Linked DNA regions of Coturnix japonica. The protein of the gene in region 2 purifies or fractionates together with the protein of the main gene of each other region. This does not show direct contact. Links are inferred from orthologs where the notes say so. Each region holds a gene or a part of one and is shown on either strand. Other genes may lie near its edges.

What was found. The genes of interacting proteins can lie anywhere in the genome.
Region 1: the proteins of MTMR4 (region 2) and DNAJC10 purify together in Homo sapiens (affinity purification with mass spectrometry; 3 studies listed by BioGRID and IntAct, counting the BioPlex papers as one, with this or other methods). This does not show direct contact. The link is inferred for Coturnix japonica from reciprocal best matches to the Homo sapiens genes MTMR4 and DNAJC10.

The regions. Positions count from the first base shown.
Region 1 is NC_029522.1:12,188,533-12,193,710, forward strand, and holds part of DNAJC10 (dnaJ homolog subfamily C member 10), read right to left. Parts: intron 4,290-5,178; coding exon 4,156-4,289; intron 2,765-4,155; coding exon 2,711-2,764; intron 2,352-2,710; coding exon 2,204-2,351; intron 1,444-2,203; coding exon 1,324-1,443; intron 226-1,323; exon of another isoform or gene 184-225; intron 108-183; coding exon 1-107. UniProt on the Homo sapiens protein: Endoplasmic reticulum disulfide reductase involved both in the correct folding of proteins and degradation of misfolded proteins.
Region 2 is NC_029534.1:395,478-400,655, forward strand, and holds the end of MTMR4 (myotubularin-related protein 4), read right to left. Parts: coding exon 4,447-5,178; intron 4,092-4,446; coding exon 3,981-4,091; intron 3,668-3,980; coding exon 3,579-3,667; intron 3,283-3,578; coding exon 3,105-3,282; 3' UTR 1,028-3,104; downstream 1-1,027. UniProt on the Homo sapiens protein: Lipid phosphatase that specifically dephosphorylates the D-3 position of phosphatidylinositol 3-phosphate and phosphatidylinositol 3,5-bisphosphate, generating phosphatidylinositol and phosphatidylinositol 5-phosphate.

The sequences.
Region 1 (5,178 bases), on a different chromosome or scaffold from region 2:
GATTTTTTTCTTTTTCCTTTATTTTGAATTGCTTCTAATTTTTCGTTCAAGATGTCAGCAATGCCTTTTGCGTCTCTGCTGTCTATATATTCCCCAAGAACGCTTTTCTTTAAAAATGAAATAAGAGAAAATTAAAGAAAAAATTGTTGCATGACACTGAATAGGAAATTTCCTTACTTTTAGATAAAATCCAGGAGGAGTGGAAGGAGGCAGACAGTGGCTCTGGTAGGTTGATTTATGATTCAGTGATAAAATTTTACCTTTATTTCAACAATGCTGATTCTTTTTTGCAGTAAGAACCACTCCTAGGTGCAGTTTTTAGAACTATACAAACTTGGTCATTTAGGTTACAGAAATCTGAAAGAGCTATTTGCCATTTTTTCTCATTCATTCAGCTCGGTGTTTAATGTTGATGACATTTAACAGATCTGGAACTTGTGATAGATTTCTTAAACATCGATTATGATGTAGGTCCCTATTTGGAGACCTGAGAAGCCATTATTCTGAACCCAGAATAGTCTTACCGAGTTTGAGGGCACTGTGCAAGTAAGGATTTCTAGCATTTTTTTGTAAGAGGTGGATATTATATACATATGTATGTGTATATATGTGTTTACAGTTGAGTTGGCTAAACTATGAATATACACTGAATGATTCTCTTTCAGGTTAATTCACCTAAAGATGACTGTGATTTTTGTGAAATGTGATAGTAGTCAATTGCTCGTACAAGAATAAAGGCATTTTCGTAGAACTGTATGAACACTTCAGTTTTTAAAAATTTAATATTTCTAATCTGTTAATAGATATTAGTCTTAGTTCTTTATAGTTGAAGTAGTTTCTAAAGGCTTAAGACAGAAATCAACTCAGTATTTTCTATGAATGTTCTATAATACAAGTCAATGAAATACTTATGATTGCAGTGAAAGTGTATTTCTCCTTAGTCACAATGAGAATGTCCACATTTCATTCTGAGAGACTGCCTGCTTTAGCAGCTAATGCTAACAGTGGTTTACAGACTGTTTTGTCACTTCAGTCTCCTGCTCAATTCAACCCCAGTTCTGATTAAGTCTCTGCTTTAGTTGCTGTTTGATTAATTTACAACTTATTATTTTTCGGTAAGATGTCACTACTGTATTTTGGGTATTACTAAAATCAATTACAATTTTATTTCTTGAATATCTAAATTCTCTGCTTCCATATGCTATAGAATATAGAATGCCATATGCTTCCATATGCATAGAAACAGTCTCAATTTTAATGGGAAATGAAATAAATCTACTACCAGTACCTGCCCAGCAGTGTACACAAAGGGAGACACTTTACCTTTGTTCCTTGGTAGGGGTAAAACTTAACAGTAGGGTAGGCTCTGATATCAGCACTTTGGCAGGTCTGACCGTATGCTTGACAGTCTACTTTTCCAGCTTTTACTTTTCCTTTAATGGCCTAAAAAGAATTATTTTTGTTAGAAACAAGCTTCATGTTTCCATGGCTGACTATAAGCAGATAATTTGAATAAGCCAGCAGTGCAGCTAAAAATAAGCAGAAGAGGTTGCTCAAATCTTTTAAATAACTCATAGTCACTTGCTTCATTCTCAGTGTCCCACAGCCTTGTATCAGAAGTTGCCCTACATTCTGCAGAGCACACATTCTTGAATTCAGAGCACAGCACACCACGGTTCCAAAGGGCCCCGAGTCATGAACTGAAGTTTGTCTAAAGGAGGGCCTGTATGCATGTGTTTGTATCAGGGCCAGTGCCCACTGACAAAGGGAACCTAAAAAGGGCAGAATTCTAATGACAGTGTATCTGATATCTCAGTTGTTATGCAAATAGGGTTAGTGAGGTTTTGATTTGAAATTACAGCAGACTAGTATGAAAACAGGGAATGCCTGACTTAAAAATGGAAATAAGTCTTCTCTCGCTATCACAAGGGTAAAATGCTGTATTCATTTTTTCTCTGTACAAGGCAATAACTGCCTACCTGTAAGATAATAAAATCAACAGCGAATAATGAACCAAGACAGCAATGGTTAGCTATTTAAAAACTGAAATATTAAAAGATTTCTCCCCTATAGCTAGAAAGGAGTAAGTGATTTTTGGATAACTGCCTAGGAATAGTGTGGTGGCGAGTGATGCTGACTATTACAACCACAGTTAGTAGGGGGAAAAAAAAATAGCAATCTGCTGATATAGTTAAAAGCCTACCCTTGCAAGGATCTCAAATTCGGGAGCAAAATTTTGGCAAGGTCCACACCAGGGAGCATAAAAGTCAATGACCCAGTGATCCTTCCCATTCAGAACTTTTTCTGTAAAACTCTGCGGAGTCAGGTCTACGGACGCTTGTGGTAAATATCTGAAGAAAGGAAGAATGTCAGTCATCATCATCCATTTGGTGCCTCAAACATATTTGCAGGTTCCACTGAAGTGCAAGAAAAGTGGTTTGGAAATTCCTGCTTCACATGTTGTACTATTAAGGAATCACTTAGAAGTTGTAGACAAAAGATCAGCTGTTCGGGAAATGGGTGCACAGAGTAGCAATATTTCTCCATGCTTTTAAAAGCTTGACTTAAAAGATATGGGAACATTAAAATCTTAAGTATTACAAACATGACAGTGGTTTCTAGTTCTTGATTTATGTACAGTTTGGATATAAAATTCTATGAACAACCAACCTTATGCAACCTGGTTGCAAACTTTAATGCTGTCACTTACCCTAACGCCCAGCCTCTCAGTGAATATGAATCTCTGTGCCATCCATTATAGCTACTGTAAGAAGAAAGCAAAAAGCTGGTTACATCTTGGCTGTCTGTTTTGAAAAACCAAAAAGTCTGTTAAGTGGGTGATAAAATAATGAATCTTAAAGCATGCATACACTTTAAAATACATTTTGCCTTGCTTTCAGTTCTGAATAATTAAAGGCATTGTTATTCAAAGGTAGAGAATTAAGGAGCAGTAGAACAAAGAAAGGAAAGAAGACAATTCTGTGTCAAGAGACTGAGAAACATGCTGTGGAGTGCTTGAGCTTTGCTAGCTCTGTCTGAATGATTTTTAGTGATAGTTCTATAACTGCAGACATTAAGAAACATAAGAATTAAATTGGAATGCCTTTATATACATATTTTAACTGATCTTTCTTTATTATAATGGAATTATTGTTACTTATATATGTTCCCCTCAAGTTAACAGTAGAAAAGCAAGGCAAACGAGGAACTTAGACCAAGATTTATTATATGAACTGTCGAGGTACTGTTTAGCTTGAAATTCCAGAGAAAGTTTAGTATCCATTTGCAGCTTCATAAAGTATTTGTCAGAATAGAGGTATCGGGTGAAAATCTGACCTTTTTTAGGTTAATTTGATTTAAAGACACATACCAATATTTTTGCAGGAAAAAAGTAACTCAGCATTATGAATTTGGCAAATTTTGTTTTTTTCAAATATGAAATAAAAGCCTGCTTTTGGGAGAAACTTTGTCTGGAAGAAGAAAATAAAAGTACGCAATCCCATGATGAAAGCTACTAAAGCCAAGCCTGCTATTAAGTGTTACAGTGAAGAAGCATTAGTTTGTTATCTGCCAGCATTTTATCAGCTTTCCAGTTTGTAAAAGAATAAGTGAGCCTTCTAATATTTCAGACCTGTGGCATTCACCTCCTGAAATCCCCAGCTCTTCACACGGTACTGTGAAACAAAGGGGATGGGCTCTTTGGCTACATTTCATTTCCCTGAGAGTTGTTAGTGGTGTTAGTGAGTTATATTTTCATATGAATTATACAGTGAATGGGATGATGTGCAAAGACAATTCTTGCAGTGATGCTAAGGATGGTCAGAACAAATTTATACCACGCTGTTCTTTGAAGCTGCAAATAAGTAAACCTATTAATATTTTTAGAATCTATGATTTACATCATCTACTTTAACACGCTACTTACCTTGGAAAACTGGCCATTGCTAAACAGGAAGAAAGAAAAAACCCTGTTCCTGAGTTTCCGTTTAACTTGCATTTCAGCAAATTAAAATGGCATGTGTTTGAAGTCAACGATGACTGGTAAGGAAGTATTACAGAAGCCTGTTATAGTAGCATTTAATGAACATTTTTTCCTTGCATCAGAACATGTGACTTTAGTGTGAGACCATTCACTTTCTGAGCTGAGGTACTTACTAATACTGATGAGCTGTGCTTGATTTTTGAGGAAAGAGTCTTATTTCAGGATATCCCCGAACATTTTCTTGGTGACAGAAAGAGTAGAATTTTTGACAATCCACGCTGCCTACACTGATTAATCCATTTAACATCTAATAAAAGAAAAGAAACAATCAAATGTGTTAATTGGTAATACTACAGTCTCAGAACTGATGGCATAATCACTTGAATTAACTGAGCAGGACAACAAAACTAACCAAGATGCTCCAAGGCTTTTTTTTTTTTCCCCTATAAATAGCTCACTGGTATCTAATGGGAGCCAGCCATCCAGCTATGCTGCTAGCACGCACATCATGTTTTAGTATAAGTTGCAAGTAGGCAGATTACAAGGCTTGGCTTAAAAGGAACAAGCAAGTGTGGCTATTGGGTATGACTACCATGTTTCATATCTCAGTCTCAGCAGTTAAGACAGATCCCAGTGCACTGTAGCTGTGCTGTCAGTTTCACAGCTCATAAGTGTCTTAGACATGCTGACTTTGTAGCAAAGGCCCAAACCACCTTGCAAGGGCAAGGAAACCTATAGTTAGAGTGTATCCTGTGGGGCTTGTAGTTATAGATGTTTGACTAGAACATAGAACTTGAATAGATCTCCTAGGCCAGGCTAGTTTAAAATGTCTGAAAGACACAGACCAGCTTTCAGGTCTCTCACATTTTGCTCAGTTTCCACTTCAGGTTCCTGAAACACGTCCAAAAAACTGGGATGATTGTCAGTGACTGTGGTACTACCTTAGCAAATAAGTGAACACTGTAATAACCTTGCAAGAGAAAAGCCTTCCATACTCAGTCAGTGTAAATGGGAAGGATGTAAAATTCAGTTAACTGGCCATCACCCTTAAAGAGTATTGAATTTAACATTTATTTACTTTTAGTGAAGAAACAAAACCTCTGGAAAAAACTATCTGGACAAGAATTGGGATATGTAAAACTGAGTTCCTCTGATACTTCAGTCAAAACCAGAGCTCTCACCAAGGTCATCTTAAA
Region 2 (5,178 bases):
CTGTTTCCTGCTCAGTACTCGCAGGGTTCACAAGGAGGCCATCCATCACATTCTTGCTTTTTTTCCCTCTTTTATAACCAAGGCTTAACATGTCTCTTCACATCCGCTGCAGTTTTAGCAGTATCTATTAATGGCTTAGAGACCGAACGCCATCCAGCCATCACAAGCTTCACCTGACTTCTCAATACACCTAAATCTGTGTTTATTTTGTTCAGTGGCTGATATTATGGTACATCATAAGCAGTTCCGGTTGTTAATTTGCTAAGAATTCATGGCAGTTACTGCACTGACAGGGGAAGGCTTTGATCTCACTGTTTGTGCTAGGTTTAGACACATTTCAGCATACACACATAGATTACTTCAGGCTGAACGTGTTGGTAAATTATGGCTTTATGTTCCTGAAGCGATAATGCTTTGTTCTGTGCTCAGTACTCATGAACGTGCAGTGTCCTTGCTGGCATGGCCACCCTGACACTACAAGTTTCAGGTATATTGAGCAAAAATGTCCACAGAGCTTTGAATGCACTTGGGGCAGTTCTGTTCAGTTCCTGTTCCATCTGGACATGAGATGCCAGAAGTCAGGTAGCAGTTCTAGCATCCAGCCCTTCTCTGTGCAGCCAGATGACACTGCAAACGTTAATCCTAGGGCCTGGAAGTTCAGCTGTGGGGTTTTGTTTTATTTGCAGAAAAATCATTCCTGATTATCACCCACAAATTGTTGCCTTCTAAGGTTGACTACTCCCTAGTAGCTCTCTTCTTGAGAAAAATTCCTCACTGAGTCATTAAGGGAGAGACTGGAAGGTGTTGGAATCCCGGGCAGCCATGGGTTTGTTTGGTAAAGAGCACAGGGCTTTGGAGTAGAAGGCCATGACATAATGTGCTTTGTGTCCTCGCCATGATTATTATTTGTGAGAAGGAATACTAAATTCCTGACATACCTTAACCAAGGGACAGGGCAGCAGGTAACAACCAAGGAAATGGTGAGCAAGAATGTACCACAAATGAAATAATGGGCCCAGACACAGCAGCACTAATATAGAGATTTTATTTCAACTGTATTGAGTTGTACAGCACATTTTGTTTGTCACAATGCTATAGAACTGATTTTAGAGTTTTTGGCCAGCACATTGTGACGCTGAAACTCACAAGAGCTAAAAGCAGTTTGGACTAATGGCCTGAACAGAAGGGCCAGGAGTACCTAGTTTCTGGCTTCCTTATTGCTTGCAGTCATTCCAACATGTGTAAAACAGGAGCAAATCCTTCTGCCAGCCCAATGGTCACTCTTCCATGTCTGGCAATGACTGCAAGGTACAAGGCAGGGGAGAATCTGAAGCAAGGTGCCTTCTCGTCCCAAAGCCAAATCGGTTGTTCCCAGTATGGAAAAGAAGCAGAGTCCAAGTAGGAACAGGGTCTTCAGATGGTGCTAGCTTTGTTTGCACTACTGGGATTTACAAAACCAGAGGCTGACATATCAAAGTGCAGGAAAAGGGTCACTGTTCCATTCCCTCTGATGGAGATGACAAACCACTAGCAAAAATCTGGGAGATGACAACAGCGTAAAGTTCTTTGCCTTGTTTGACCAAATGCCCTCACAGTTTCTCCCTCCAAACATCAGAAGTCTCAGCTCACGGTGCACATAAAGGGCATTTTCATGTCTTTGGGAAGAAAACCTACATTTCTGGGAAGAAATGCCCCACATTCAAACCCTTCTTCCTCACTAAAACTTGCCGATATCTCAGGAGGCAGGATGGATCTCCCACAGAGATCCAGCAATTCAACACAATTTCACCCAGCGCCATCTTCTCTTTCGAAACCTTTCTTACTTTCTAAACCCAGTTACTTTTCTTTTTTTGGAATGAGTTGGGATTCCTGCTCTGTACTTCAAGGATCAGGCAGAGAGGCAATCGCAAGTTGGCAACTCTGAACTCTGACCACTGTACAGGAGACGAAAAAAAGGAAGTCAAATTCAAGAGGCATTTTAGGCAGCACTGGGGCAAACCAGAGATATTGTTTCCACCACTGAACAGATGCCACGTGTCATGTTTATCGCTGTAGCTTGGTTGTACATCCTAAAGTGAAAAGCACAGACCGCAGTGTCTATGTCAGCCACCTCCATTTTGGTATCGATGCTTCATTCTCCCTTTTTCGGGTTACATTAAGTGCACAGAAATATATAGCAGCATTTGGACTGAAACCCTCACATACACCAGACAGCACATTCCAGGAGGTAAAACAACATATTATGGCCTATACCCTCAAGGTATCAAGTTTTCAGGATACAGAGCAGTAGGAAGTGGAGAGCTGAGGGCAGAAAAGGGGAGGAGGAGCAACACAGGAACACGAGTTCTGTTTCCATGCCAGGAGAGGATCAGGGTGCCATTCCTGTGTTAGCACCAGGCTGTGACACTACTGCAGACAAAGCAGACGGGCAGAGCAGGAAGTGAAAAAGCCAATCTCCCATCTCCCCGCACAGCTGGCGGGCAGGGGCAGAGTCAGGTGCATTCACCAACCCTAGCACAGCGTGAAAACAGGCAACATCTGCTCGGCCTGTTTTCAGCCAGAATGAATTTCTCTTCAACGCTCAAGAGAAAATCAATCGGTGATGGCTAATGAGTCTTGTTCACCAAGCTGATCACAAATCACACTCATGGAAAGAGAATCTACAGAATTGCTCCAGGCTGAGGCCCTTCCAAAGCACATAGTACCACCTCAACTCTGCCCTCTTCCTTCTTGTTACAGCAGCCTGCCTTTGTTGGGGGAGTTGGTTCTAAACATGCCTTTCTATTGCTTTGGGGGTACTTTGCACAGGCAATATCTGTGAGAACATTGCTTTCCAGCCCACAAACATAAGAGGTTGCAATCCCCTCTTTTGCCCTAGGTCAGACTACAATGTACGGGCCCACTGGTACCAGAGTGGAGGCACATTGTACTCTCTAATCTGAGCTCCTCTGCTCCAGTCAGATCGTAAGACTGTTGAAGACAGTGCATTCAAGCTTGGTGTTCAAGTGTTGCACCAAAGGCCTTCACAATTACAGTGGAGGCAGAGTCACCCTTCAAACCCATGAGAGAAAAGGCTGGGCTTAGACAGGTCCCTTGTCTGGCATTCAGCTGGAAGCTGTGGCGATGGGCTTCTTCAGATGTTGGCTCATGAGCTCCCTGGCACGAGACACTTGGATGTGGTCATAACAGGAGTTACAAACGAGGACGGGGTCATACAACTGCTGATCAGGGATGGGCAACTTCAGGTGGCAGCAGCCGGCACAAAACACATTCCCACAGTTCCTGCCAGGAAGAAAGGGAGGCAGTGAGAGGAGAGCTGTGAACAGCAGAGCAAAACTTCAGCAAGGAGAAAGGACCCTGTTCAGGATCAGAAGGACCAAAGACTCTGGGGAAATGGGAACAAGGAAAGCACAGCAGACTGGGAATCTGCAGGGAATTCCTGAGATCCAGCAAATAAAACAAGGTCACAACAGTTTCTTCTTGGAGGTGGAGGGGACGAACGTTGCAGACAAGCGTTTGGGGAGGTTTAAGAGATAAGCAGAGGAGAAAAGTGGAACTGCAGCAAAACTAAGGTTTACCTGCAGTGATGCCTCCGTTTTGCCAGCCAGAATTCACAATCGCAGTTAAAACAGTGCGAGGCCATGTGGTCTGGAACCCACCGCGTGACCTAGGGCAAACACAGTCCTCATCAGCTCCATGTCTAACATCACACTGACCAGACCTTCGGACCCGAATACAGGCTGAGATGTTGCTCTGGACCAGAACAGGCCAGTCCTGAGACAGCCCATCCCACGGGTTCCTTTCTGTGGGAAGCAGCAGATGAGGATTCTGACAGACTCTCTTGCCTAAAGGACAAGGGTGGCTTCTCTCAGCCCTGCTTTCAGCCTAGTCATCATTGCTGTAACCATAGAAATCAGCTGCCAGAAAGGAAACATCCTCTCCTGCTGCACTCACGGCATTTGCTCTTACAACACACGTACCTCGGTCTCCTTCTTGTCAACAGGCTCCCAGCTCGCTTCAGACAAACAATCTTCACTGTGATCAGAGCAGAAGTCCTCAGTGTCGCTGCCATCTGATTCCTTCAGACAAGTCTGCAAAAGGAGAGTCACAAATCGTGTCCCAGGGCGCTCCCTCTGCAGCCACACAGTGCTCGTGAGGGGCACATGAGTGGCTCTGAGTTTCCCTGTGCAAGGGGCAAAGCACTGAGGTTTTTGTGACTGCAAAGCAGCCATTGCTTGGCCCCCGGGAAGCAGAAATACCTGCAGGAGGCACGAGGACGGGGCTTGTGGATGAGGGGAGAGGGGCTGAAGAAACACAGCAGTGGTCTTAACCATCTGCTCTGAAGTTATAGGAACATGAATGTAGTTTGGAGCAGGCGGTGTGGGGGGGTGCGCAGGGGCTGCTGCTGGCAGAGACTGCGCAGCTGAAGCTGTGAGAGCTACTTACGAAATCATCCTCGTAGTCCATGGGCGGTTCAGCCGGTGGGGCGCAGAAGTGGCGGATGTCCAACCGCAGCTGCAGCTCCCGCACCTGCCTGCGGAGCTGCTCCACCTCCTGCTTGTAGCTGGCCTCGATCTGCCGCAGTCTGTGCTGAATCACATCCGTGGGGAAAGGGAGCCCGTCGTCATCCAGGTAGAGAGGAGGCACAGGAGAAGGGCATTTCGGTGGCATGTGCTTGGGACCAGGCGCTTGCTTCACGTGGCAGGGCAGCCACGAGCGGCTGGGCTTCCCTGCGGAGCCTGCAAAATGCGTGCCGATGTGCCCAGAGCAGACTGAGCCTTTTGCACCTTCCCTGGCAGACCATTGGCCACTGAAACACAGGCCCGGTGCCCGCAGCTGTTTGCTGCTCAACCTCTTACTGCAACAACCGTAGGACAGGAGCTGTCTGGGCGTGGGCTCCCCATTGCGGAGCGATGTCACCATTCCTTGAAAACTGTCCCAGTTGGACCCCAAAAAGGAGAACTCGCTGCTCTGGCTCTGGGAGATGGGCTTGCGCCATTGCTCTAGTGGGACTCTCCCCATCCGGCAGGGATCCTCACAGAGCCCCCTCCTTCCAGCATAACCTTTGCTGTTGTCTTCATCTGGGCAGGGGATGCTCGGCTCCTGACAAGGAGCACTGGGCGCCAGTGGCTCCTGGCTGGGAATGTCTTGGCAGGTGGTGTTTTTCTTGGGGCAGCC